Linked DNA regions of Mus musculus. The protein of the gene in region 2 interacts with the protein of the main gene of each other region in a biochemical or structural test. Links are inferred from orthologs where the notes say so. Each region holds a gene or a part of one and is shown on either strand. Other genes may lie near its edges.

Region 1 (4,260 bases), on a different chromosome or scaffold from region 2:
GAGGCAGAGGCAGTCGGATTTCTGAGTTTGAGGCCAGCCTGGTCTACAGAGTGAGTTCCAGGACAGCCAGGGCTACAAAGAGAAACCCTGTCTGGAAAAAAACAAAACAAAACACCTTCCACTCTTAGTGGGCTGGGGACATAGCTAGGCTGGTAGAGCTCTTGCCAAGCACGCACAAAACCCCGAGATTGATTCTCAGCACCAGTGCCTGGAATCCGAGCTCTTGAGAATCAGAGGCAGGAGGATCAGAAGTTCAAGGGCAATCCTTGTCTACATAGGTAGTTGGGGGCCAGACTGGGCTACAGGAGAGGTCCAATTTAAACACATAAACACACAAGGTACCAAAACACTCCCGCAGCCTCTGTAGCATTGACTAGGATGTGAAGCCTGGCAGAAGCTGCCACTAACACCTGGAATTCTCAGGAACATCCAAACACCCATCCTTGCCCAGGCACCTGCCAGCAAAACCGGACACTTTGACACTTTGTAACAGCCAAACCCCATCAGCCAGATTGTCCGGGCTATCTGATCCTCACTTCCTTCTAGGGGAAAAAAAAACCCTCTAGGTATCATGAAGTCCAAAGTCACACCTGGCCACCAGGAATGGGTGAGGAGAGTCAGTACACACCCTGTGAGGGCCAGCAGCTCTTCTTGGTGCCAGGGTCTGATAACAAGGGTAGGAGCTGTGTAGACAGCTCTGGGGGGGGGGGGCAGGTACCCTACAGCCCTTCCACCCACAGCCAAGGGACCTCTCCAGGGAAGATCTCAATGTAAAAGCAGAGGCACAAGAACTGCTAGGTGGGGGGGGACGGACCCCTTTCTGCGCGGAAGCTACCCTGCCCCAAAGTATTCCCGAGCCAGCCTTAAGATCTGCCAACACCCCAATCCAGCCCGACTCACAAATCATGGAAGCTCCGAAGGGAAGACGCAGGGGTGAAGACATCCAGAAGCCCAATGACCTGGAGAGAGGCCACCAGTGAGGGTGCGCTGCCAACGCCATTCTTCCCTGTCCTGAGGGTCTCAGCCACCCAGGGCCACCATCCAGGTCACCCTCTGCTACGGAAGGTGGCCCCAGCTGGCATGGGAACAGTTTGGGGGCCCAGGCAGAAGAGGACATTTGCCTGGGCTGGAGAGATGGCTGAGAACAAGGTAAGTTTGATCCCAAATTTGGGGTTTGGGGTGAACAGTCCCACTTGTAACTAACAAATCTTGAGGGTCAAGGGGGGAAGAGGAGAGAAGGATGAGAACTCCAGGTCCTTGGGACTCTGGACCTCAGCTCTAGCCTTGGACCCCGGGTCTCTAGCCACATCTGTCAGTCTGTCCAGAGCTAGAGGCAAGTCCCCTCCACCTCGAAGCTGGAGGCCACTGAGGAAAGGTTATCTGAAAGGATTAGGGTTCACGATGTACAAGGCTCTATTTGAAATGGACCCTAGCCCTTCTGCCTGGCCCAGAGCTGGGTCACGGGGTCTGTTTCCATCAGACAGGATGGTCAAATGGTCAGGCACCAGGCTCTGCCTCCCGCCCCTTCCAACCTCAGCTCTGCCGCTGCAGAACCGGGGAAACCTTTCTGTGCCTTGGCATGTGTTACGGAGAGGATTATAAAAGTTAGCCAGCCCCCACCCCCGCATGCATTAAATACTCAGTATTTATTGTTAGACTTAGAGTGGCCAGAATGGAGGCAGCTTTAGCTCAAGTGCCCAGGCTCATCGGACTGGAGTCCTCACAGAACCAATCGCGAAGCTCCCCTGTGCCTACTTCCTCCTCACAATCAAGAAAAGGTTGTGTGTTTTCTGGGAAGCGAGCTGGGCAGGCCCTGGCATCTTCTCATTGGGCTCTCCTTAGAGAGCTGAGAAACCAGGGTGGAGCAGAGGAAGTTCTTTCTCCTGGCCCTGCGCGCACGACCCTGGGCAGGCCCCTCCTGGGCCCCTCTCCCTGCCCTCCGATCCCCGGCACATCCACACCCCGAGGCAGCCTACGTTCTCATGGTGCATGTGCTTCAAGAGCAGAAGCTCGCGGTAAGCGCGCTTGGCAAAGATCTCCGACTGGAAGGGCCGGCTCAGCTTCTTGATGGCCACCTTCTCCCCTGTCCGCTTGTCGATGGCCGAGCTGCGGGGTCACAGGCAGGTGAGGGGGAGGGGCGGCGCAAAGGGCCTAAACTGGAGATCCCTCCAGCCCTGTCCTAGGCCACCCCCATTCTGTGCTCCCCAGGCTGGCCGGAGACCAGCAGAAAGAGAGAGAGAGAGAGAGAGAGAGAGAGAGAGAGAGAGAGAGAGAGTGTGTGTGAGTAGGGGGCGACGCCAAGGAAGGGGCGGCAGAGCAAGGAGAGAAGCAGTTCTTGCTGACAGGATGCAGAGCAGGCCAGGAGTCCCTGCTCTGCGATTTGGCAAGTTCCCCTCTTGGGGCCTCATCTGCAACCGCAGGGATCTGTCCCACGAACTCCGAGATCCCTTTTAAAAAGTTACAGCCTTGGAGAACCAGATTCGCCAGCGACTCAACCCACAGGGGCCCCACTGCCACCGGGCTCACTCGGGGAGGCTGCCGAGGGGTGGCCCGTGGCTCCTCTGATTCCTGGGGTCCCCGGGTCTCACCACACCGCTCCATAGGCCCCGCTGCCGACGTGCGCGGGCGCCAGGTAGGTCTTGGGTAGCTCCCAGGCAGTCTTGTTGATGTCCTGCTTGTAGAAGCCCCTTTTCCGAGTGAGGCTCATCCCGGACCCCGTGGTGGCGGTCCTGCGAGGAGGTTGCGGTGGCTGCCCGCGGGCTCCCGGCCCGGGTGTCCCGCCGCGGTCCCCTCCCGCCCCGCGCCCGCTCCTCCCCCGTGGGGCGGCGCACCTGCCGCCTCGCCCAGGTACGTTCCCGCCCCGGCCCGCCCACCGCTCGCCCGCGCTCCGGACTCCGCCCATCACCGGCGAACGCCCCAGGCCCCACCAGCCACCTGCTGCAGGTGCTGAGGGAGGAGGGGGGTGCCCTGCGGGAAAGGGGTGCCTGCGAGGCTGCCTAGAGACTGTAGGAAGAGTTGGGAATGGGGTTAGGGCGCGGGGGGGGGGGCGCTCAACTTGTTGCTAGTTGGGCTAGTTTAAGAAATATACCCTTCACATGTAAGGCGTGGTGGCTCAGGTCTGTACTCAACACAGGAGATAGAGGCAGAGACAGGAGAATTGCTACGATTTTGAGTCCAGTTCAGTACATAGTTCAATGCCAGACTAGGTGAGACCCTGAGGAAGAAGGGAGAGGAGAGACTAGAGAGGAGAGATACAGAGAATGAACAGAGAAGGAAGAGAGGGATAGAAGAAAGGAGGGAGAGATAGAGAGGGTGGGAAGAGAGGGAAGGGGAGAAGAAGGGAGGAAGGGAGGGAGGAAGGAAGGATAGAGAAATAACGTCATTCTTGACTACGCAGTAAACTGGAGACCAGCATAGGTTACATAGTGAGACCCCACAGAAAGATGGAGAGGTTGTTCAGCAGGTTAGAGACTGCACCGCTCTTGAGGATGACCTGAGTTTGGCTTCCAGCACCCAGGTCATCATGCACATAGTTAAACAAAACAAATAAGCAAATAAATAAACAAAAATAGGCATCGTGGTGCACACGCCTTTAATCCCAGCACTTGGAAGGCAGAGGCAGGTGGATTTCTGAGTTTGAGGCCAGCCTGGTCTACAGAGTTCCAGGACAGCCAAGGCTACACAGAGAAACTCTGTCTCAACACCCCTCCTCCCAGAAAACCCTCCGGAGATCCCCAAACAACAACAACAACACAAGAACCCTACAATTCATGGGGTTCTACATGAGCTCCTGTGACCCCAGGACTCTTGTCTTTTCAGTAAGCAGGACTCTCAGATCCTAAGGCTCAGCGACTGACCAGGGCTCAGACTCTATTCCTCTTCCCCATTTTTCTGAAACAAACTCCAGGCATCCAATCCTTCTTCTCATGAGAGATTTGCTGTCTTACACCCAGAGTCGACGGCTGCTAATTCTACAGTCCCCAGAGTTCACAAAGATTTAAACATCCACCGGAGTTTGTTTGATACTGGTGGTGATGGTTTTGTTTTGTTTTTAGCTTTTTAAGATTAATTTATTTTATGTATATGAGTACACTGTAGCTGTCTTCAGACACACCAGAAGAGGGCATTGGATCCCATTACAGTGGTTGCTGGGAATTGAACTCAGGGCTTCTGGAAGAGCAGATAGTTCTCTTAACCGCTGAGCCATCTCTCCAGCCCGGTGGTGATGTTTTTATTGTTGTTGTTGTTGTTTTCTCGAGC
Region 2 (3,500 bases):
AAAACAACAACAAAACCCTCCAACTATATTCATTACATGAATGACTAAGGCTTAAAGTATTCTTTAAGAAAGTTTCAAATTATATATGTATCATAAATAATTTAGGGAAAATGAAAATAGTATGTTTTAGACAACTTTGCTAGATATCTAAAAGTTCTTTTCAGGATGAAAATGTAAAATGTTGGAAGACTAATTTGAAAGTATGAATAAAACTATTTTTGTGAAATATGATATGAAAAAGAAAATTTTCATCATTTCAAATACAGTGCTTTTACATAACAATTTAATCTTTCCAATTGTGTGTACATGTATTTATCTATGGGTGGGCATGTGTGCCAAGTTCTCACATCTTCTATGGCAGGAGCAATAGTCAGTTGTGAGCCATCTGCAATGGGTGCTGGGAACTGAACTCATGTCCTCTGCAACAACAGTGCAAGCTCTTAACCACACAGCTCCAGCATTTTTTTTTTTTTTGGTTTTTTCAAGACAGGGTTTCTCTGTATAGCCCTGGCTATCCTGGAACTCACTCTGTAGACCAGGCTGGCCTTGAACTCAGAAGTCCACCTGCCTCTGCCTCCCAAGCACTGGGATTAAAGGCGTGCGCCACCACCGCCTGGCCCAACATTATGTTTTTAAATGTTCACTAGACAACTCAATATAGTTAATTACTTTTTCTTTATTTCCCAAAATTTGAGTATTTAGTGTGTTTCTCATAAAACTTTTTTTTTTGGATTTTCTCACAACAGTAACCCAGGCTGGCCTAAAATGTATTATTTAGCTGAGGCTAGCTATGACCTTCTTCTGACCCTATCTTTATCTGTTGACTATTGGGATTCCTGGCATGTGTCATCAGGCCAAGATATGAATGTTTGGACTTTAACATGCCTGGGCCACTAAACTTCATGTAACCATAAAGGACAAGTGTGTTTTTTGAAGAATTTTTATAACTATAAACACCATAGCTATTTGCCAGCATTCCAAAACAAGTATCTTAAGAAATATTTGAATTTCATAAACCTAGTCAAACTGGAGTGAGGTGAATCAAGAAATAATGCAATAAGAATACAGAAAACAAGAGTGGGCTGGGGGTAAAGAAAGGTTTCAATCCAATTATGTTTGCCTAGAATATTATAGTCGATTACAGGTAATGATGAATAAATACTACTCCCAATTAATAAACACTTGATAAATTCCATTTTGTAAGCCAATCAAGCAGTTCAAATATATTTTCTGGTTATTTTACCCAGACCAGTTTAGATACAAAGACTTAAATTTAAATGGTCTAACTTTCCAACTTACTGGGACTGCAGCTGGAACATGCACATTAGAACTTGTAATTGATGCAGGAATAGCAACGGGCATGGTTTGTCCATTAGGAAGATGTAAGAGAAGAGGAAATGGGCCTGGTACAGGACTAAGAAAAACAAAACAAGGGAAAAATGTAAAGATCCATACCAACCACCTCTGCAAAGTAACAGTCTTTTCCCTCCTATTGCTTAAAAATAAGTTTTCTAACCTTAAAAGGGCAAATTACAAAACTTAGATATTTTTAATTGCATCTTAAATGCATAATCTATGTAAGAGTGTTTTTTTTAAAAAGCCTGGGGAAAAATCATGGATTTCCAATTTGTGAAATGAGAAAATTTCTCATCAGAAAGGTCTTGGGAGTTACTTTTAAGAACTGAGACAAATGTCATCTTGAAATGGAATAGCTTTGTTTTGTGTCAAAAACCATAAAAGTAAGACCATCTTAAACTTATAGTCTATTTTCATTATTTTAGCTAAGATTTAGATATTTATTGTCCAATGTGTTAGATAATATTATTTTTAAAATATTAAAAGTTTCCAAAACCCAAGACAGACAGATCTCTTTCTCCTTTTTTCTCTCGTGTAGCGCGCGCGCGCACACACACACACACACACACACACACACACACACACACACACACGTTTTAATTCAAGTAATTAAATATCCTAGGGAAAACCATAAAAAAACAAAACAAAACAAAAAACCCTAACAACTCATGTACAGTCAGTGAGTGACTGGAATCACTTACACAATTGGCCTGTTAGAGGATGGTGCCTGGGTGATTACAGTACTTGAGGTTGGTGAAGGTACTGCTTGTTGAATAATTACACTTGAGTCAGAACTTGTGAGCAGCACATTGGGAACCTGTAATGATGCTGGACGAACGATAGCTGATGTGGGCTGTGCAGTTTGTGCCAATGGTACTTCCTATTTAATTTTAAGATAAATAAAGGGTAGTATTTAAAAACGCAAGTTAATTCATGTATCCCAGTGAACAGAATGTAACACATTTATGAAAGCAACCACTAGATAATACTTAATGCCTCTACAAGTAAATTAATATCTAAAGTTAATTGAAAATATCTAAGCAGTTGTAAAGTTCAAATGTAATTCTTAAAATTTAAAAAAAAAAACCCCAAATCTGTGTTTTTGGTTCAATGTGTTTATTACTCTAAAATAAATTAGGCTGGGCTACTTGGCAATGTTTCTGTGAGAATTTCAGTAAGAAATACAAATACAATTTACTGTCAGTAATCAAAAATCAAAACCTGCAAGGGATTGTCCTATCCTATTTGCTTATTGTATTACAAAATCAAGAAACTGATCCAGCAAGATAGTGCTATGACTTAAACAATTTGGTGTTCAGATGTGGTGGTGATGCACGTCTTTGATCCCAAGGAGACAGAGGCAGGTGGATCTCTGAGTTTGAGGCCAGCCTGGACTATAGAGCAAGTTCCAGGACAGCCAAAGCTACACAGAGAAGTTCTGTCTCAAAAAAACAAAACAAAACAAACAAACAAACAGAAATGTTTTAAGACATTTTAAATTAAGAAAAAAAAAAGTCTGCTAATCTCAGGTAGTTTTTCATTTGGTAACATTAATTTTCTAGTATCAAAAGACCAAGTGAGTCATACAAAATTAGCAGGTAGAGCTGAGAGCTTTCCAAACTAAAGAGAAATAGAATTTATGAATCAGCCAGGATGATTGTTAAAATATTTCCTATTTTTTCAGATTACAAAAGAGATGAGGGCCTTACCCAGAACTCCCTAACTATTGTATCCTTTTGAACTGGCCTTTATATAGCTACTTTCAGTTGGAGTCTTAGTAAGATACTAGGAAGGAGAAATTAGTAGCATTGTAACTACAGTTTTCAGCACATCTAAAAACTTCCAACTCAAGAACTAGTGAGCAGAATGACAATGAGTAAAACCATCACAGAAACTTCCTACCAGAAAGGACATTAAACATTCTACAATAAATAATGATTTAGCAGAGGGTAAGGTAGAGCTGGGCACTGTAATAGTGAGGAAGAAAACCTTGCAAAAAGAAATCTGATCTGATATTGAAAGAATCAAGAAGAGGCAGGCTATAGAGAAGGGGGAATGCTAGGCAGGAAAACCTTACAATATTTGATGGATAGAGAGAGCAGGAAACGAGGATGGATGAGTAGACAGTCAAATCAATGAGGCTT
Region 3 (4,227 bases), on a different chromosome or scaffold from region 2:
TGTTTTGTTTTGTTTTGTTTTTGCTACATCTCTGGAAGAGGTGAGGACTGGAGGCCAGATGTGGATGCTTGCAAGTCCTTGAGGCCCACAGCCTGGTGTGTTTCACGAACAGGTAAGGTCCTCCCTAGGTCGACGGGAACCTTCGAGGGAAGACGTGTTTCTCCTCTCTGTAATGCACCAGCTCGGGCAGTGGCACGTCTGGATGCCGGCTGCCTTGCCTTCTCTGACTGCTCACAGGGCCAGCAGCGTGGGTGAGCTCAGGGAGTCGGAGGAGGGCTCGTTGCTGCTGCTGCCCTTTCGGTGGGCAGCGGCACAGCTTGGGAAGGAGTCAGCTTCAGGGTAGGTGAAGACAAAGGAAGACGTGTAAGTAGTGCAGCCCGGAGTACAGGTGACCACGGGAGTACACAGGGGCTCCAGCTCTGTGACCATGGGCCCCATCCCCAAGGAATTGCTGTGCAGAGGCTCCCAGTCTGCTGCATAGAAGGAACCGGACAGGTCCACATCTGGCACAGAGCGGGAGGTCTCTGAGCCACTGGGCCTAGATGATGCCGGAAACAAGAAGTCATCAAAGGGTTCTGCCTTCAGCTCCACGTTGCTGATGCTCTTGACTGGCTCCAAGGATGGCTTGGGCTCAGGGTCGTTGAGAAGGGGCAGGGTGAAGGCCTCCTCAGACTCTGGGGTGGAAGCCTCAGGCAGACCTCCAGTCAAATCCAGGGAGGCCACAGACATCTCCTCTGGGAAGCCAAGGTCATCGGGGATCTTGCAGGCAGGTCGGTGGGCTGCCAAAATAAACTCCAGTTTTTCCTTCTCTTTCAGCAGATTGGCAATCTCAGTCTGCAACGCAGACTTCTCATCTTCAAGTTGATCTGTCTCCTGCATAGGGAGAGATATAAGAAAGCATAAGACACGGGCATGCTCAAGGACCCTGCGCCCATAGTCCCAAGCTCCAACTTTAATAAAGTTTCAGGAGCAGCAGCTGGTTCAACCTACCGCTTGGAGTGTATCTGTCAGCTCCCTCCTCCGATTCCGGCACTTGGCTGCAGCCATCTTATTCCGTTCCCTTCGGATTCTCCGTTTCTCTTCCTCTTCAGGAGATAGCTATAGAAGAAAAGGACCAACATTCAGTTAAGGTTGTCTAGTGTCACCTCCATTCAGTCACCCCAGTGAAACTGGCTCCTACAGCACCCGCACCTCTCGGTGAAGCAGTTTTTCTAACCTGCAGTTGGCAGGCAGAGTGTGATTTGCATTTAAAGTGAGATCTTTAGCAGGGGAACAAAGAAGCTCCCCGGCTAGAGAATGAAGTAGGAAGCTGTCAGGGAAACTGTCTAGAGTTTGTCTTGGGTCCAACTGTCAAAATCTGACAAGGGAGGGAAAGGGCTAGCAGCCACAGCTCCTGGTCAGGAAGTGCAGTCAGTAGCGTCCCTTCTCTGTTGTGTGGTCTGTGCGTCAGTCTCCGCCCCCCCCCCCCCCCCCAGCCCACAAAGGTCCAGAATCGCTGCTCACCTGCTCTACTTTGCCCCTTCTGCCGATGCTCTGCGCTCTGCCTCCTGACACGGTCTTCACCATTCCCGCTCTGGCGTAAGCCCCAGCAGACTGGGTGGGGAGTCCGTAAGGATGGGGCGCTCTGGTCTGCGATGGGGCCACGGAGGAGACCAGAGTGGGCTGCACCAGCCACTGCAGGTCTGGGCTGGTGGAGATGGCTGTCACCGTGGGGATAAAGTTGGCACTAGAGACGGACAGATCTGCGCAAAAGTCCTGAAACAAAACAAAAAGAGGAAAGCGGAGGTGAGCGAGGAGGTTCCAGACACAGGTGGAGCAAGTGGCCCTAGTGTCGCATGAAGCAGGGAGAGAGAAGCATTCCGGTCAGAGACTGCTTATGTCTTCCTGTATGCACCTCATCGGAGATAAAAGCTCTCCCAATATCCTCCCTTGAATTCCGCAGCGCAGCCTTTCTCCTCCATCCTACTGCTGCGTTCCCGTTATCCCTTCGGCATCACTCGCTCGAAAGGGGGTTTGTTATAAATATCCCTGACGTCTGCGCTGACGCAGGCGCTGCTCCGGAGTCTCCAGAATGAACTCGCTTTTTATCAATGAAACTGCCTTACACACCCGCCCGCAGCACCCTCCTCCCTCCTCCCTCCTCCCTGCTCCAGGCTGCCCCGGGAGGGGGGATTGCCGCGGTTTGCCGCCTCCCAAACTCTAGTTAGCGACTCTTTGCTCGAGACTTGTTGGCCCCGGCTGATCTCAGAAACAAGTCGGCCGAGAGAAGAATGCAGGCAGGCCACTCAGAATAAACCTGCCGCGCGGGAAGGGGTCACTAAGTCTTACTATGACAAGTGTGCACGCGCTCAGACAAGTCCTGGGTTCCCAGGCTAAGGCTGCTCTGACCGCGCCAGTCTCCCTCCAGAGCGAAAAAGGAAGACCCCCCCGCCCCTGCGAGTCACACCCCAGTGTCTCCTCCACGGCGACCCTCAGCGCGGACCTGGCGGCTACACAAAGCCAAACTCACCTGTGTGTTGACAGGAGAGCCCATGCTGGAGAAGGAGTCGGCTGGGGAATGGTAGTAGGAAAGGCTGTCCCCGGCCGGGGAGGCGCTACTGCAGCGGGAGGATGACGCCTCGTAGTCGGCGTTGAAACCCGAGAACATCATGGTCGAAGTTTGGGGAAAGCCCGGCAAGGGGTCCAGGGGTAGACACTGGTGGGAGCTGCAGAGCAGAGCTGGGTGGGAGCGCGGTCACTGCTCGTTCGCGGAACCGCCGGCTCTATCCAGTCTTCTCAGTTGCTCGCTGCAGTCGCGGTTGGAGTAGTAGGCGCCTCAGCTGGCGCCTTTATAGAAGCGCTGTGAATGGATGGACTTCCTACGTCACTGGGCGGAACTGGAAGGGGGGGGAAGCGCGCCCCAAGGCCCTCTGCGGGCGCTCTGTCGTCAACTCTACGCCCCAGGCTTTCAACCCCCGTCTTGGCATACATCTTTCACCTATGAGTGTTCACATTTGGGATCTTAGGGGGTCTCCTAGACCTTCCGCGTGTAGGATTTCGGAGATGGTCCCCCCCCCAGAACAACAGGGACCGGCCGTGGAAACCTGCTGACGCAGATGTCCTAATATGGACATCCTGTGTAAAGGAGGGAGGGATTGACGGGAACAGCTCGCCGGCTGCAGCCAACTCTGAGGGTGCAGCGCAGGGGGGGAACCGGGGCCGCGGCCGGGGGAGGGGAGGCGGGAAAGGCAGAGAAGGCGAGCGAACATTCGCACCTGATTCAATGTGGACCCGGTTCCCAGGGTCAAGGGATGAGACCCGGGTCATTGTCCAGCAATCTGGAACTTTTTTTTTTTTTTTGAGTCTCTGGTATTAGGAGAAGCAAGTACGCAGCCTTAAAGGCTCGAAGCCTCTGTTCCTAAAGGAAAGCTTGCCCACATCAGCCCCCCATCCCAAATCAGTGCAGAGAAGAAAAAGGGGGGGTCAGCTTCTCAGCCCCTCTCTCCAGCTCCTTGCCTGGAGAAACTTTAGGACTGAGGTTGGAAGCAGCAAGTGAAGGATTGTAAATAAGTGTACAATAACCTGATTTAACTACAGTACTGGGTTCATTCATAAATTCGTGTTTTAAAGGACGGCAGCACCTACTCCCCGACCCTTAGCCACTTAGAGCTATCAAGGCGACAGTCCCCGTTGACACTGACGGATAAACATTGTGCAAAACCACCCTACAAGTATGCCTGAAGGGGTCGTATGTTTAGTTTTGAGCTGAGACCAGAGGGCGAGTCGGGGCAGGGGGGGAGCTCAGAATTACAAAGTGAGGTGAGCTCGGGGGGGGGGGGGGAGGAGAAAGCAAGTCGGTGCTGGGGAGATGGGGGTCTGAATACGTGCAGCCTGGAAACTGCGCTTACAAGGAACCCGCCTGCAGCGGGTGATTTTCCAGATCGGACTTGGGAAGGGGGGTGGGGGCGCAGAGGGGACGGGAAGAAAGGTTCCCAGCTGTGCCGAGATTTTGGCGTCTGGGACCTGAGAACAGCTTTGAGTCTTGGAAGATGGAACTTTGAAGAGGTCAGGTGCTTCAGTGTAGAACAAACACACCCCTACTTGCCCTCGGCCTCCTGTCCTTCCGCAGAGGACAAGCCGGGTTAGACTGACTGGGCCGGTCACCTCTGGGATAGGAAACCGCAGATCCTCGCAGAACTCATGTGTCCCCCTCGTCTCCATTCTGAGGGTCCCAAGGGTCAAGCCAAA
Region 4 (4,158 bases), on a different chromosome or scaffold from region 2:
CCTTCTGGCGCAGCCGCGCGTCGTAGGCCGAGCTGCAAGGTGGGCGAATGAGGAGAGCAAGCGCCTGGCCTGAATCCACCCGACGCTGGGTGCGGGAGTGAGCCTCTGTTGCTAGCTCTAAAACCTAGGAAGCCTGTCCCCGCCTGCTCGCCCCGCGCTGCCTCCACGCCGACCCTCCTGATCCTCCCTTAGGAGACCCCTTTGAGTGGACAAAGCGTTCTCTGGCAGAGAACCGGTGATTCTAGCCCAAACCTGAGCGCCCCCCCCCCCCCCACACACACACACAACAAGGCCACGGCATGGAAAATACCACGACTGTACCCACAGGCGCTCCCACAGCAAGCAGCCCTCCTCCTTCCTCACGGATGCCGTGGGAGGCTTACCTACAAAGCCCTGGACGCCCCACCCCCACGCCTCCGCACATCAGATTGCGGAAGCAAGATTATCCGGAGGTGTTTATTGCTTCCTGATTTGTAATTGAAGCCGAGTGTGGTGTTCATGCCTGTAATCCCAGCTCTTGGAGAGAGGGAGAGGCGAGAGAATCGAGATTGAGTTCAAAACCAGCCGGAAAACCTAGTGAGACATTGTCTCACAAGAAACCAAACCAAAACAAACAAAAAAATACACACACACACACACACACACACAATTTATAACTCAGCAAATGGATAGTAGGAAATGTTTAACCCCAGTGTGAAGATGTCTCTGACACACTTCCACTCCCCCAGAAACTGGACCCGCCACCTCTGCACCTCTTTACCCTTCTATCCTTCACCTGGAGAGCCTCGAAAGAGCAAATGAGAGCACGCTTTCTTTGTGGGCGGGGCCTAGGCCACGTGGACTGAGCGGTGGTCCTAAGGCTTTTCACCAGGTTCTGATCCCTCTGCCTCAAGACCCGGAGCAGCTGCGAAGCCACTGAAGGAGCCCTGGCTACAGTACCTTTACACAGCCTGCTCCCCTGGTGATTCCTGTTCCTTCTCTCCCTCGATTCTCTTCGTCTCAGGATGCACCCTTCCCTTGCAGTGGTGAATGGAGACAGGGTACCACCCATTCCCACCAGGTGAGGGAAGATGGGGAAGGGGCATGGTGGTTTGGGATGCTCACGGAACTAGAGAGTTGTAGAAGAAAGGTGGCTTTCCTATGATAAGCAGAATGTCTAAGTAACTTCTGGGGTGGAGGTGGGTGGGGAGTGGCCACTAGAACAGCAGGATCCTCTTACTTGACTGCCTCTGTACAATCAAGTTACAAGAAGTTGGCATCCCATGGCCTGCCTCAGCAGGGTGACTGAACAAACCCAGGGTCACGGATCAGCGGAGACAGACCTAGGTCTCCCTTGGGAAATCTGGCTTTTCCCTGGTAACTCCTAGATGGTCCAGCCCCGAGACAACTCCATCTGAGTCAATGTCCAAGTCCCCTGCAAAGTATCTGCTTCACCTTCCTCCCTGCCCCCTCCAAGTCCTCCCTGGCTCTCCTTCCCTCTAATTTATTGTATTATTTTTTTAAAATGTATTTTCGTGTAACCTTATCCTCCTCCACTTGCTGAGTCCCTGAACATCCCAGACACAACATGTCCCATCATCTCTTCCTCTGTCCGACTCCTTGGGTATGTATGGGTGATGGAGTGGGTGTATCCTGTCTCTACTCACTGTGGAGGGCTGGGGTACAGCCTGAGAAGCAAGAATAAGGAGCGAGTGTCGGCAGAACAAGCCTACCCATCTCAGTGGTGGGTTTACAGGCTGCAGACATGGGGCGAGATCCCATGACCAACTCACTCTGGGCCCTGTAAAGCAGGACTGTTTGCCTCTATAGGGTTGCAGTAGCAGTACCGAGGCTTCGGATGACAGCACCGGATCCAAGATGTGAGACTCAGCCCCCATTCCCGGTGTGGGGCACATACCAGTGTCCACACCCTTGATCAGCCCGTCAACAAGGGCTATCTACAGCCGTTCTCCAATCCCAGGTGCCTGGATGCTGCCCACGATCGAGACTGCAATCTCTGGTCTCCAAGCCCTACCTATATTCTGAGATCCTTTGTTGGGTAAACTGGGGTAGGGTGTAGACAAGAGAGTAGGTGTCCGCTTAGGCTCAAGCCGCTGAGCTTCTAGGAATCTGGAGGCGCGGGTATGATCCACAGGAAAATTTTGGTGTCTTCCAAATTAGAAAGGTCTCCTCACCCCGCTGGGGGTCCCCTTTTCAAATACTTAGTCTGAGGGGAACGTTAGACCCTGCAGCTACTTAGACCTTGCCCGAAATAACCCGGATGGCTGACTGTTCCATTTAGCGGCCCCAGAGACTTGCTCTCCCGCCAGCTGTGACGCCGCAATATTCAGTCTTTTGGGGAAAAACTAGGAAAGGGATCGGAGATGGGGGGGGGGGAGAGGGCATTAGAAGACCCCCCCTACCTGCCAGCGAGTGGAATCTAGTAGGAAAGTTTCCTCCGTGTCCCCTCCCCCCCATTCATTCATCGGAAGCGTGCAGACCGGGGGCGGAGGCAGGGCGAGGCCCCTCCCCACGCCGGGAACCCCACGTCGCGCTGGAGGGTCGCACACGCTTTCCCGCCCAGCTCCCACCAGGTCCTTGCCGGCCCCTACCAGACTGAGCCGTAGGCGCCGGAGCCCACCGGGCGTAGGCCCTGCAGCCGCTGCGGCACCTCCCATACTGTTTTGTTCAGCTCTTGCCGGTAGAATCCCGCGCGCGGACCCGACATATCCACAGAAGCAGCTGGAGCGAGCGCCCCGGATCCCCGCGCGCAGCACCCGGCCCGCGCCCCACGCCCAGCACCGCTGAGCAAAGCGGGGTGGGGGCTGGGGGGCGGCGGCGCAGCAGGGCGGGACGGCGGGGCGGGGCCGAGGCCCGGCGGATTTCCCCAGCCTGGAGACCGGAGGGCGGGGAAACGGGGGTGGGGTGGGGTGGGTGGAGGTTGAGGGTTCCCGGAGACAGACGCACAGCTTCCTGCCCCTCGGAGACCGTGACAAAGGAAAAAGCCTGCTTCCCTCCCATGGGGGTGACGATGAAACTTCTTGCTTGTACTCCTCCACCTTCATCTTCTGCATATTACCTACCCCCTCTGCCCTTCCCCGGGTCCCAGGCCAGTCCCCTTCCTCAGAAATGAAGGGAAATTGTCAAAAGTGAGCTTGAGCACGTGGTGATAATACTTTCAGAACAACAACAAAAAACATTAGTGGTGGGGGGAGGGGGAAGTAAAGGCTCTAGGTTAAAAAACCAGCGCCACGGCGCCAACTCAGGGCACCACTGAGGAAGGCGCCTTGTGGCCAGGGTGAGGAGGACGCCCCCGTTTGGCGTTAATGGTTCACCTCCTAGTAGACTTACTAGGTCTTAGTAAGTGACGGAGCCTTCAGGAGACAAGACGACATCTACTCCCCATGTTGCCCTAACCTCGACCCAGAAGCTCCTGGAAGAGGTAAGCTCCCGGCGGGCAGTCAGGACCAGGGACAGCGCAGCACCATGATTGGGGCCACAAGTATGGTCCCCACATGGGCCTCTTTTTAGTACTGGGTATTTTTCCTCCTTATGAAGCCCTCTCTTCACTGACACTCGGGAAACGCCCCCAGCCTTGACTTTCTCCAGCCACTAGCACAAGGCGACCCAGGAGGTCTACCAACCCTGGCAGGCATAGTTCAGTTTGTCACCAAGCCTAGAAATCTCCCTTTTCCTGGTGTCCAGGGTGGATGCTTTCATGTCCAGTAAGGCCTCACCCATGCCACTTTAGGCCAGTGGTTCTCAACCTGTGGGTCACGACCTCTTTTTTTTAACAGGTGTCACCTAAGACCATCAGAAAACACAGATATTTACAATTCATAACAGTAACAACATTAGTTACAAAGTAACAACAAAATAATTTTATGGCTGGAGGTCACCACAACATAAGGAACTGTATTAAAGGGTTGCAGCATTGGAGAGTTGAGAACCACTGCCCTAGGCCCTACTTTTATTCACACTTGAAAGTAAACATGGAGCAGAGTGTGGTGGTGCACGTCTTTAATCCCAGCACCAGGAGAGAGATGCTGGAGTACCTGGCCAGCCTGATCTACATCCTGAGTTCCAGGGCAGCCTGAGCTAAATCGAGATTCTGTCTCTAAGCTGATTCCTTTCCCCCATTCCTCCTCCCAATAAATTGATTATGGGTTGAGTGTCGTG
Region 5 (3,500 bases), on a different chromosome or scaffold from region 2:
ACAGAGGAGGGAGTAGGGACTCTATTATCAATGCTGGCTGCTGCCTGAGAAAGCTGCAAAGAAATCACAGTCATTCACCTCTGTAAAGGAGAGCCATACATGTCCTCCCACCGCAGTCTGCTCATTATTCTTCTTTACAGCCTAAGTACTTAGTGTGAACACTGAAGGGCAGAGGCTCCCTGAGGAAGCTTAACAGTCAGTCACTGAGTGTCAGAAACACAATGACTGACTTCTTACCAAAAATGAAGAGCTGGACAAACAGAGTTTTCTAAATTCTGACATAAAATTATTTTCTCTCTGCTTTCAGACTGGATTATTTTACCATTATTTTTCTTCACTAACATTCCTATTTATGGAGAAAGGCAAATTATAAACTATTAAAAAAAGTATTTACAGAGAGGTCATGAAATAATGGCCCATATGAAGCATCTATCACAGGGTAGTGATGGTGGTGTAGTAAGCAAACACTCCACTACCATGTAACAGGCTCTAAGCAGTACATAAATTAATAAAGGAAGATTGAAAAATTAAATACAAGTATCTTAGAGGGCATAGGATGCAGCCAGTGGCAAAGTGCTTGCCTAGTGTTTACAAAGGCCTGGTTTGAAGTCAGGAAACATAAATAATTGGAGACAAAAACAAAGAGAGTAAGTATATGCCCTTATAGAGAAAGCAAATTAGTAATGTCATCTTTGCAACTGTTGAATGATTTTGTTATTCTACAAATATCCTAAGTATCTAAGAACAGAATTAATGCAAACCTGAGAGGAGGGGATCTGTTGTTTCATTATAAATAAAAAAAAAAAGTCATGTATTCTGAAAGAAGGCTGATTAGCCTGGACCTTTATAGTCTGGAGCGAAGCATGATAACTAAACCCACAGAACTAAGCACAAAAGCAGTCAAACCTCGACAGTATTACTCTAGAACAAAAACCAGGTAAAAGAATGGCAGCACACACAGTTCAATAGTTCTGTCCATGCTGTGACATACTGATGATTACTGACTTCTATAAACCACTCTGACCAAGGGAAACTGTAAGCCATACCTTTAGGGCCAATAATAGTGGGAACAAATCAGTTTACTACAATTTCACACACACACACACACACACACACACACACACACACACACACACACACACACACGAGTTTTTCGCACCAGAGCAATTTGCTATAGCATCCTGACAGACAGAATAGTCTTTTATTTTATATTTATAGATAAGAGTCTTACTTCCTAGCTCTGGCTGGCTTCAAGCTCACAAGATAAGCCTGCCAGTGCTTTGAGTGCCCGACAGACCATTCTTAAGGGACTCTGTACAAGTGTGACTTGATAAGGACAAAGAGGCTCACCGGTGTGCCAGGAGGCTGAGTATGCACAGGCGTTGGTTGCTGCTGTGATGACTGAGGAGTAGCCACAGATGGTGGCTGCACTGGGGTCTGAGGCTGTGGAGTCACCTGAGCCTGTGCTGCTGCCTGGACTGTAGGGGTACTCTGTGTTTGGGCAGCGCTGGGCACTGAGCCAGGAGTTGGGGTAGGAGTCTGCCCAGATGACACAGGAGTAGATGGCTGAGTGGGAGCTGCTGGCTGAGGAGGGGTCATTCCTGGTGCCGTTGGATGTTGGAGAGAGGGCATGCCAGCAGCTGTGGAAGCAGGAGGTGGAGTCGGGTGCAATGGTGACTGTGTCACTGGTGGGCAAGGCAGCTGGCTGGCCTGGGGTGCCAGCATGTTCAGAGGGTTAGGGAGAGCAGCTCCAGGTACCTGACCCTAAAAGAGATAGTAAGAATATATAAAAACTATTTTACCCAATTGAAACCATGAGGGACTTGTAGAAAAAAAAAATTATACTAGTTTCTTAACTAGTTCTGCTAGTTTCAGGAGGATATTGCATTTGTAAAACTTCAGACTAACCATTTATAGCATGCACCACACCATGTAATAAAATTAGCACTAAAATCCTTCTCATACTTTGACTTATAGAACTTCAATATCAGGTTACAATAGTCATGGCTTAGGCACATATTTACTTAGTTTACTAACTTCATGTTTTGCCACATCTACTTTTAACTTAGACCACAGAAAAAGGAGTTTTGTTTTGTTTTTTAAATAAGTTGAGACAGTAGAACATAGAGCACTGGGGAGACCCCTAACTTTAAAAAAAGAATCACAATGGCTGTTCCAGAGAGAAATTTGACCTAGGTACCACCAACAGTTTTATAGGATGACAACCACAAGGAGATTACACATTGTCTGTAACTACTTGTACACGGTTAAGAGCAGAGCTAAACAGTTACGAACGACTAGGAGTATGACTCTGGAAAGAGAACATATTTACTATCTGGCTGTTGAAACTACTGGTCACTGTGGCAAATGACTGAGATATAAAGAGTGTAGCCTGGGCTACATGGAGAGACTCTGGAAAGGGAATAGAGTTGGTTTCCTTATCTCTGTTCTAAAGAAATGAAATGATAGGGAAAATTAATCATCCCCGAGTAAACCTAATATATTCAACAACGCATTCAGCATCAGCTGAGTGTTTAAAAGGACAGGACTTTTATATTTTGAGAAAGATTTAGCCTATTTGAAATACTTTGTATGCAGCTGACACTTGATGCACTACCAAAGTGAGGGAAAGCAGTAAACTGGATGGGAACTCAGCTATGACTAAGTAACTGGAACATGCTCATGAGAAGAGTGCTATTCCCATGATTCTGACAGCTCTGTCACCCCAACACATAGTTAAGATACAAAAAACTAACCAAGTCACTAAAAGAAAATTCACCCCTTCTTAAAATTCCAGTATTTCTCAGAATGACGTTAATCTTAGATTTCTAAAGCACACAAACAGCAACCAAAATCCAAAGGTAAAAATATAAGAGTAACAAAACAAACTAACAAAAACCAAAACCAAACAAACAAAACCCCCACAACCACAATCCATTTTACTTTATGTGTGAAGTTTACCTAGAGGGAACAAGAAAAATTAAACACAAATTAAAAATTATAGGGCAAACGGGAAATGGAAAGATGTATATTCTAGAATTCTAGTTTCCATCAACTAAGACAGGATCATGTCACAAAGGCTGGGGCTATATAAATACTGGTTGACCAGGCTCCCTCAGTGAATGTACCTGTGAAACACCTGCCTGGGCTGCTGGTTGCCCCATGCCCACACTGTTCACACTCATTGCCCCACTGGATGATGGAAACTGGTTCTGTGGCAGAAACTGGTTCTGAGTAGGTGCCTGGGCCATAATGTTGTTGGCATGAGTGCCCATCATATTTGGAGGCTGAGGCATCCGTGAAGGAGAAATGGCCATCTATAAGACAAGAATCAGAAGTGTTAGGTCAGAGTCTTCAAGAGATCACAGTACAGTGGAGATCCAAAGCCTTACAAATCTAGTACACTTTGGTTTTAAAGACCACTACTTCCCAGGGACTCCCCAGTTCCTAGGCACTTTCTACAATTTCTCAAGTCAATGCTGAACTGTCTTCAGAATGGC
Region 6 (4,174 bases), on a different chromosome or scaffold from region 2:
ATCTATCCTGCACCCCACCCCCACATTTTATCTTTTTGTCTTCTACATAATGACTAGGAAGGGAACTTGAACAGATAGGCACTATTCCCGGAGAACTGTTTTAGGGAAATCTTGCTAAAGAACAGCTTAAAATCCCTTAAATAATCTTTTTAAAAGAGTTATTCTTAAATTCAGTTTTTAGTGTGTGTCCCCTAGTGAGTTTTCTATGCACCACGTGAGTGTAGATGCCCTTGGAAGCCAGGGGTTGGGTAGGAGTGTCATCTAATGTAGATGCAGGAATCTGAGCTTAGGTCCTGCAAAAGCAGCAGATGATATTCAACCACTATGCCATCTCTCCAACTTTTTAAAGATCACAACTATTCAAGTAGATACTTAAGAAGCTGCCATAAACTCAACATTGATGAGATGCTAATGACATACAATTAAGACTATTAAATAAATACTAAGATACCTAAGATATGTTATCAATCTGGAGATAAAAGGCTGATGTTAGGATTTAAATTCCAATTACATCTGCATTTTTCTTAAAATTAAAATTTGTAGGTGCCAGGTGGAAGGCAGAGGCAGGTGCCAGCCTAGTCTAAAAACTGAGTTCCAGGACAGCCAGGGCAACAACACAGAGAAACCCTGTCTTAAAAAAATGAATTAACTTTATTTTATGCATATGAATGTTTCGCTTGAATGCATCTCTATGAGAACATCTCATCTTCTGGAACTGTAATTACAGACAGTTGTGAACTGCCATGGGAATTGAACCCAGATCAGCCAGTGCTCTTAAATGCCGACTCATCTCTCCAGCCCCTAAAATTTGAATTTTAAAAAGAATTCTGCACAGCAAGTGGAAACTTCAAAGGTGAATAGCAACAGGATCTAAATAATCCATCTTCTCAGGGTGGTGGGGAATGTGTGAGTTCAACTGACAGATCCTAATTTTTTTTTGTCCCTACTTAAAATAATCCCCCCTTAAATAAATGAGCCTATAGTGGGTAATCATGAGTGTCAATAATAAGTGTTACTGGCATATTTACCAGCAGGTACAGGGTAGTAATACATGCAAGACAAATGTGATATGGAAAGTACTTTTTCTCCATTCCTCTTTTGACTTGCAGGTCCAGTTCACTTTTATCTTCGTAATTGTATACTATGAGACATTTTGCTCATAAAAATATAACTATTCATGAGTCTTTTCTTTAAAAAAAAAAAAAAAGAACGTTAATTATTCTATCTTGTTAGCACACTTGGTGAAAACACACCTTTTCTGGCATTTCTAAAATTATGACTATTCAAATTTTAATGCATTTCTGAATAGACTTGTTCATCAGGAAAATATGCCGAAGTCCTGAGATTATTAAATCAAGGAGAGGCCTGTGCAATAGCTCAAGAGCTGAAGCATTTAAAACAGGATCTTTCTACAGCAAAGCTTGATTCTAGTTCTTCGCCCTGTAAAAGGACTTCCTTTCAATACCTTATCTGAAAAAGGCTGTCTTCTCTTTCCTCAAGATAGCTAAGTTAAATTAAACTATCTCAGAGACCTTCGATAAATGAACTTGTTTTAGTTAAAACAATACACTTCAACATTCCACATGCAGGAAATCCTGCAAGTGATCGTGCAAAAACTATTCTTGAACACTGAAACGTTATGGGGAAACGATCACAGTAATCGGGCTAAAACATATGGATACATTCACACTGTTAAGAGAGTACTCTTGAGGGTAACGACGGGATAATTTAAAGTCAAATTAGGACTAACTCCAAATACTTCTTAATAATTCTAGAGTGATGCTGGCTTATCCTTTCTGAAACACAATCGGTATATTTAAATCCATTTTGAAACTTCAAGATTTCAATATGTCCACAACCAACGCTGTGTCATTAACGGTTAAGCCCGAGGCAGAAAGCATCATTAGCGCTACTTAAGATATTTTGTGAATGCTGTTCACGTACACAGAAGAGAAGAAAAATATTTTGGTGCTCAGCACACAAGCCTATTATTCCGTCTTGCAAAACCATGGCCGCCGCCACCACGGACAAGCATCTAATACAATTCCTGGCTTTAATCTAATGTCAAGAGGCGGTGGCTATAATGCTATAAATTAGGAGACACAGTGTACTTCCGTTCCCGTCCCGAGGGAGAAGCCTCGAAAGTACGCGCTTTAAGACCAAGCCCCGGAGTCTTCGAGTCCTGGCCTCAATCGGGGTTGCCCCTCCAACCGCAAACGAGAAGCAGCAGAGGAAGACGAGGAGCAACACCTAAGCCTCGACCGGCTCCAGGACCCCGCCCCAGGGCTCCAGGAGTGAAGGCCAAGAAGCCAGGGGTCCGGGGCGCCGCAGAACGCGAGGCCAAGGCGCGGGAAGGGCCGTGGGTGCGTCCAGATCAGCCACAGGCAGGGGGCACAGGGTGACCGCGTGAGGCCGGGCCTGAAATCCAGCGCGGATACTCACCAAACCATGCCGTAGGCGCCTTCTCCGATGTACGAGAGGTTGGTGTAGCGCGGCCCTACGTCGAACACCTGCCCGCGGACCATCTCCGGGCCCGCCGCCGCCGCCGCCGCCATGTTGGCTGCACAGCCGCCGCCGCCGCCGCCGCCGCCGCGTTCGGTTCGACGCTTCGCGGCTGCCGCTCGACTTATGCTGCGCTTCCCGCAGGAACCGCGCTGCCGCCCGTGTAGCCGCCCCCGCCGGCGATCGGGAACGAGGAAGGAGGACAACACAGAGGAGAGAATTAACCGCCGGTAGAACCACTGCCAGCCTTCCTGCCTGACGGGCGGGCTACGAGTGGGAGGAGGGAAGGGTTCGCGTCGAAGGGCGCTAGGGCGGAGTCAAGGGCGTGCGTGTTGATTGGCTTCTCTTGGTAGAGAGGGCGGAGTCTCGCGGGTCGGCGGAAGCAGCGAGGTGAGGCAGGAGCACTGCGGCTGCGGGGGAGGGACGTCATGTGCGCTCGGAGACCCAAGCGCTGGGTAGCTCTAGAGAGCTAGGTTGGAATTTAGGCATAAGGACCCCACAGAGTCCCACCCACTGTCCTGGTGCTGTGCCTGGTCCAGAACGAACTCACACGGGACCAGGGACTTGGCTTGAGACCAGAGGACTCACTGCACACCAACCACGGGACCCCTGAGACAGACCTCTAAGAATACGTGGCCCACATTGTGCACTCTGATGAACTTAGACCATCAGAGTGGGACAGAAACCAAAAAGCATAACCCAGACCCAGAAAAAAACTTTCACCCTGTAATGAGCATAATTTTAAAAAATGCCTTTTAGACATATAAAACTAGATTAAGCAGGAATCCCACAGCATCCAAGGCTGCTCCTGATCCAGAGCTCAGTGACATCACTCACGCAAGATAACCAGATACAGTCCTAGAACCCCATGATGCCCACTGGACAGAATATAAGCAGAGACCAAAAGCAGTGATTTGCTCTACACATCTGGAGAGATACACCTTGATCTGCTCTGTGGCTAGAGAATCCACTCCCCCCCCCCCCCCCCCCCCCCCGCCAGGGTCCTGATCCTCAAATCAGAAACCTGATCTGAAGCTAAGATAGGTGACACAGGTGACCTTGGGGAGACAGGCTTAGGACTGTAAGAAATTTAGACTGTAAACCTTGCATGATGACCTTCAGCATAATAAAATATAACTTTTGTTATACTAACTACATATATCTACCTTCTTGCCCGTGACACACACCTAACAGTGTGAGACATAAGTAAGCAGAAACCAAAACACAAGACATTGAATCCCCTAATTAGAGGTTTGTTCAAGAAGATTTGCTGAATATCTACGGCACTGGAGCCAGCCATGCTTCCAGAGTGAAAAGACAGACAAAATACAATATTTGCACTTAAGTGTTGTGAAGAAATAAAAAGCCAAGGGAAAGTATAGAGAGCTGTGGGTAGGGACACTGGAAAAAGACATAGAAATTTGGGGACTCGGGTCCAGGTGTTGTGCAACAGTTTCCTGAAGGACTGAAACATTCTATGAACTTGAAACATTCTAACTTGAGGGGAAGCTTCTGAAATAGTAAACTAAAAACTAAAAGCAGCAAGGCGGCATGGTGCCTCACACCTTGATTCCCACCACTTGTGAGGCAGTGGCAGGCAGATCGCTTATGAATTGGAAGCCAGCCTGGTCTACAGAGTGAGTTCCAGGATAGCCAAGAATATGCAGAGAAA
Region 7 (3,500 bases), on a different chromosome or scaffold from region 2:
GAAATGATAAAATTATGAAGTGTCATGAACAAAACAAAAGTGAAGAGAAAGGGATTCTAACAGTGTACTGGACACACAGACATGGAAATATCAGTGCCTAGCTAAGGGTGCGCTTTTCACACAATATGAATGGTTGCTGACCTCTCCTTCAGCCTCCAGTTTGCAGCAATCTGTAGTTTTAGTGCCAAAGAATCCAATACTTTACAGCTTAAAAAAAAAAAAAAGCAACAAACAAAAAACCAGACACAGAAAGTTCTAATAAACACAAAATTCTCAGGGTCACATCCCCAGCCCCACCCCAGCCTCCAGGGCCAAGTACTGGGTCTCTCCCTGTGAAGGATACAGTCTCTTCCTGGGAACAGGACTTTATGGAGGACCATTTCTGCCATGATGCACCCGACAGACCAGATGTCCACTACCAAATATCAGGTGATTAAAAAACAGCCAGAGCCTCGCATCTCGTTTCTAAACCACCTCCCAGACATGGGCAGCCCCAGCAAATATTCATTGGGTAGAACTTCTGTCAACTCCTGACACCACATCTGAATGAGCATTTTTTAAATGGCCATATCAGAAAGGTGGCAGCCTGTTAGTAAGGGCTGGACTCTGGGTAAGGCCCTGCTTGAGCATGGCTCTGTAGTAACTGCCCTCTAGTGTGGAGTTGAGCATGGGGCCTGACTGAGTCCTGTGTTTCAGACAGGGAAGGGAGAGCTAAGCACAGACAGCTACTGAGGGGCACTGTGCCTCTCAGAGCAGGTGACAAAATATGTACAAAAATTCACACTCAGACTCATCTCAGAAGACTTCAGCAAAGCTCCCTTGTTGTCCCTTCATAAATAATCACATGAATTTATTAATAGCTAATGTTTAGCATTTATTTAGTTGACACAGCTAGAACAGGTGAAGTTTTGATCTAAGAAAATACCAGCTTTACATGAAAGAAAACACGGTACATTATTCCACTCATATTATTACAAAAACGAGTGAAGCCATTCAGTGTTGGCAACCAGGGTAATGAGAGCACAGAGGTCTCAGTGCTGTGGGTGACATGGGCCTGCTCACGGAGAGAGAGAGGCACAGGGGCTCCAGTGCACAATACTCTGTGATCAAACATTGAGGTTCAGCATGGTGACACATGCCTTCAATTCCAGCATTTGGGAGGCAGAGGCTGGCAGAGTTCTATGGCAGTTTCAGGCCAGCCAGAGTTGGGGAAGACAAAAGAAACTGTTCTTATCTGTGGCCTGCAGGCACAGTGCTCAAACTGTCTCCAATGGTCCTTGTGGAAGGGCGTGCCAGTGACGGTGGGAATGCTACCTCACTGCTTACAGTCTGGAGTCCTAACTGTACTTACCATTCTCTTTGTAGCCCATGCCCAGGATGACTTCTGGAGCCCGATAGTATCGAGTTACCACATAGGGAGTCATCATAAAGTTGGTACAGGCTGTTCGCGCCAGGCCAAAGTCAAGGATCTTGAGGGTACAGTCTGATTTTACTACAATGTTGCTAGGCTTCAAATCCTAGAAAAGAAATTGTTCACGTATTTAAATGAATCACAGCATGTTAACTACACAGTATCACACCAACAAGGGCTTGTGAGATGAGCGGCTACTGAAGTGTGTAAGAACGGGAAAGAGGGTAGGTAGGCACATGGCTTCTGAGACCCTGCCTCTAGACATGTCAGGTGGCCATGTTTTTCTTTGCTCAAAACCTGAAAGCCTCTAAGTCTCTCACATAACATGAAATGGCATTTGCATATAACCTACACACAACCTCTGGGATTGTCTAACTCATATCTAGATGATTATAATAACTAAAGCAATGCTATTATATAGGGAGTAATTACACACACACAAAAATTTGTCTGTTTTTAGTACAGATGAAATGTTTGTTTTCCAAATACTCCTGATCTGCAGCCAGTTGAATGCATGGATGAAGACCCCAAGAGTATGGAGGCACCTTACTACTAGCAGGCCTGAGCATGCAGACAAGCAGCACAGCCGCGTGGGCAGTCACAGCAGCACCGCTTCCAAAGAAGACAAACGCAGTACACACGCAGCACTGGAAACCACTCAGCAGTGAAAGCCTTCATCTGTCAATGAGCCCTAGAGAAGGGGAAACAGCCCCTGGTCCAGACCATACCCGCCTAAAAAGTGTGGTGACAGGAACAGCTGTCTACTTTACTGCCATCTGCTGGCCAGCTAGGCTAATAGAAATAAAGCTCTGGGTGTCTGTGCAAGGGGCATCCCAGCTGATGCCTGCCAAATGAGAAACTTTCATGTTTATGAGGATGTAAATCACAACCCTGACCAAACAGAGCCATATTGTAACTAAAGTGGGAAGGTAGGGGAAGAGGGTCACAGGGATGACGGCTGGGTTTGTGGACGAGGAATATATCAGTATCTTATGTCACAAACTGAAAAAGGTCAAAGAGCTCTAAACACACTGCCCTGAGACACAGAAACGAGCACTAGAGTAATTCATTAAGAGAACGGAAAGTCAGGCTGGTGACACAGCCCAGTGATGGAGTGCTGGCCTAGGATGCACAAGGCTCTGCCTTCATCCCTGTCGCCACATAAAAAAGGCAAAAACCAAAACCAAAACAAACAACAATAACAAATTCTAAATAACAAAAACTAAATTCAAAGTTTGCTTCAAAAGGAGACAGAAATAGGAGAAAGAAGAGGGAATGCAGGCTTCATAACTATTTATGCAACCATGTGATCCTTGATGAATACAAATGCAAATCAACCCATTTGCTGATTTGGTTCTGTTGAGAGGAGTCCGACTTTGAAACTGTGAAGGACAGACACTGGGCAGGCGGGCTGGCTGGCACTGGCGCAGGTGAGCACTGAAGCACCTGTGCAAAGCTGGAAGGAGCTCGGCAGCCTGCTACTGTGGGCGTCTCCAAGTGGCTGCAGGGCTGAGAGAGGTTTTCATTTTCCCCAATTTTGTGAATTTATATAAAGTAAAAGTGGTAAGGGCGAGGGACAAAACTTTACCTTTTGTCCTGTTTCACTCTAAAACTTTCAAATAATTAAAAGTTTTATTTATTGTGAAGCCATTTTGTTTCTTGGAGACAAGAGTCTTGCTATATGGCGCAAGCTGACCTTGAACTGATGACCCTTCTCATCCTGAGTTCTCCATGACAGGCGTGACAAATTGCATTAACAGCAAAAGTGAAGGTATGTTTCTCTATGTGAGGCCCTATTTAAAGGGGACCATACACTGCCATGCGGAGGCTCACTTGGGTTCCTCACTCACAGAGGCCTGTCATCCAGTTTGATGTACCTGAGGGTTGTTTGGAACATCTCAATGACAACGTTCATACCTTTCCCAAGCAGTCGCAGATGTGAGTGTGTGAGGTAAGAGTGTACAAGGGATCCAGAAGGAACCGGTAAGACAGGGAGCTAGGCAGGGAGCAAGGTGGACACACAACATTGTCTCAGATCATCATGGATTCTAAACACTGTGCTAAGCAAAACATACACTACTTTGGGCTC

Evidence for each region.
Region 1: of the proteins of Atf2 (region 2) and Mapk13, one has a biochemical effect on the other in vitro, tested with the Homo sapiens proteins (2 studies listed by BioGRID and IntAct). The link is inferred for Mus musculus from reciprocal best matches to the Homo sapiens genes ATF2 and MAPK13.
Region 3: the proteins of Atf2 (region 2) and Fos form a complex in vitro, tested with the Homo sapiens proteins (3 studies listed by BioGRID and IntAct, with this or other methods). The link is inferred for Mus musculus from reciprocal best matches to the Homo sapiens genes ATF2 and FOS.
Region 4: of the proteins of Atf2 (region 2) and Mapk11, one has a biochemical effect on the other in vitro, tested with the Homo sapiens proteins (4 studies listed by BioGRID and IntAct). The link is inferred for Mus musculus from reciprocal best matches to the Homo sapiens genes ATF2 and MAPK11.
Region 5: the proteins of Atf2 (region 2) and Crebbp form a complex in vitro, tested with the Homo sapiens proteins (2 studies listed by BioGRID). The link is inferred for Mus musculus from reciprocal best matches to the Homo sapiens genes ATF2 and CREBBP.
Region 6: of the proteins of Atf2 (region 2) and Mapk1, one has a biochemical effect on the other in vitro, tested with the Homo sapiens proteins (3 studies listed by BioGRID). The link is inferred for Mus musculus from reciprocal best matches to the Homo sapiens genes ATF2 and MAPK1.
Region 7: of the proteins of Atf2 (region 2) and Mapk9, one has a biochemical effect on the other in vitro, tested with the Homo sapiens proteins (4 studies listed by BioGRID and IntAct, with this or other methods). The link is inferred for Mus musculus from reciprocal best matches to the Homo sapiens genes ATF2 and MAPK9.

What each region holds. Positions count from the first base shown.
Region 1 is NC_000083.6:28,767,857-28,772,116, reverse strand, and holds the start of Mapk13 (mitogen-activated protein kinase 13), read right to left. Parts: upstream 2,801-4,260; 5' UTR 2,708-2,800; coding exon 2,589-2,707; exon of another isoform or gene 2,527-2,588; intron 2,107-2,526; coding exon 1,977-2,106; intron 960-1,976; coding exon 901-959; intron 1-900. UniProt on the Homo sapiens protein: Serine/threonine kinase which acts as an essential component of the MAP kinase signal transduction pathway.
Region 2 is NC_000068.7:73,844,140-73,847,639, forward strand, and holds part of Atf2 (cyclic AMP-dependent transcription factor ATF-2), read right to left. Parts: intron 2,237-3,500; coding exon 2,058-2,236; intron 1,415-2,057; coding exon 1,300-1,414; intron 438-1,299; coding exon of another isoform or gene 430-437; intron 1-429. UniProt on the Homo sapiens protein: Transcriptional activator which regulates the transcription of various genes, including those involved in anti-apoptosis, cell growth, and DNA damage response.
Region 3 is NC_000078.6:85,472,463-85,476,689, reverse strand, and holds the start of Fos (proto-oncogene c-Fos), read right to left. Parts: upstream 2,801-4,227; 5' UTR 2,651-2,800; coding exon 2,510-2,650; intron 1,756-2,509; coding exon 1,504-1,755; intron 1,099-1,503; coding exon 991-1,098; intron 874-990; coding exon 232-873; 3' UTR 1-231. UniProt on the Homo sapiens protein: Nuclear phosphoprotein which forms a tight but non-covalently linked complex with the JUN/AP-1 transcription factor. In the heterodimer, FOS and JUN/AP-1 basic regions each seems to interact with symmetrical DNA half sites.
Region 4 is NC_000081.6:89,146,807-89,150,964, forward strand, and holds the start of Mapk11 (mitogen-activated protein kinase 11), read right to left. Parts: upstream 2,801-4,158; 5' UTR 2,708-2,800; coding exon 2,592-2,707; intron 33-2,591; coding exon 1-32. UniProt on the Homo sapiens protein: Serine/threonine kinase which acts as an essential component of the MAP kinase signal transduction pathway.
Region 5 is NC_000082.6:4,115,905-4,119,404, forward strand, and holds part of Crebbp (histone lysine acetyltransferase CREBBP), read right to left. Parts: intron 3,318-3,500; coding exon 3,129-3,317; intron 1,765-3,128; coding exon 1,351-1,764; intron 54-1,350; coding exon 1-53. UniProt on the Homo sapiens protein: Acetylates histones, giving a specific tag for transcriptional activation. Mediates acetylation of histone H3 at 'Lys-18' and 'Lys-27' (H3K18ac and H3K27ac, respectively).
Region 6 is NC_000082.6:16,982,008-16,986,181, reverse strand, and holds the start of Mapk1 (mitogen-activated protein kinase 1), read right to left. Parts: upstream 2,801-4,174; 5' UTR 2,556-2,800; coding exon 2,443-2,555; intron 1-2,442. UniProt on the Homo sapiens protein: Serine/threonine kinase which acts as an essential component of the MAP kinase signal transduction pathway. MAPK1/ERK2 and MAPK3/ERK1 are the 2 MAPKs which play an important role in the MAPK/ERK cascade.
Region 7 is NC_000077.6:49,870,751-49,874,250, reverse strand, and holds part of Mapk9 (mitogen-activated protein kinase 9), read right to left. Parts: intron 1,518-3,500; coding exon 1,352-1,517; intron 416-1,351; coding exon of another isoform or gene 344-415; intron 1-343. UniProt on the Homo sapiens protein: Serine/threonine-protein kinase involved in various processes such as cell proliferation, differentiation, migration, transformation and programmed cell death.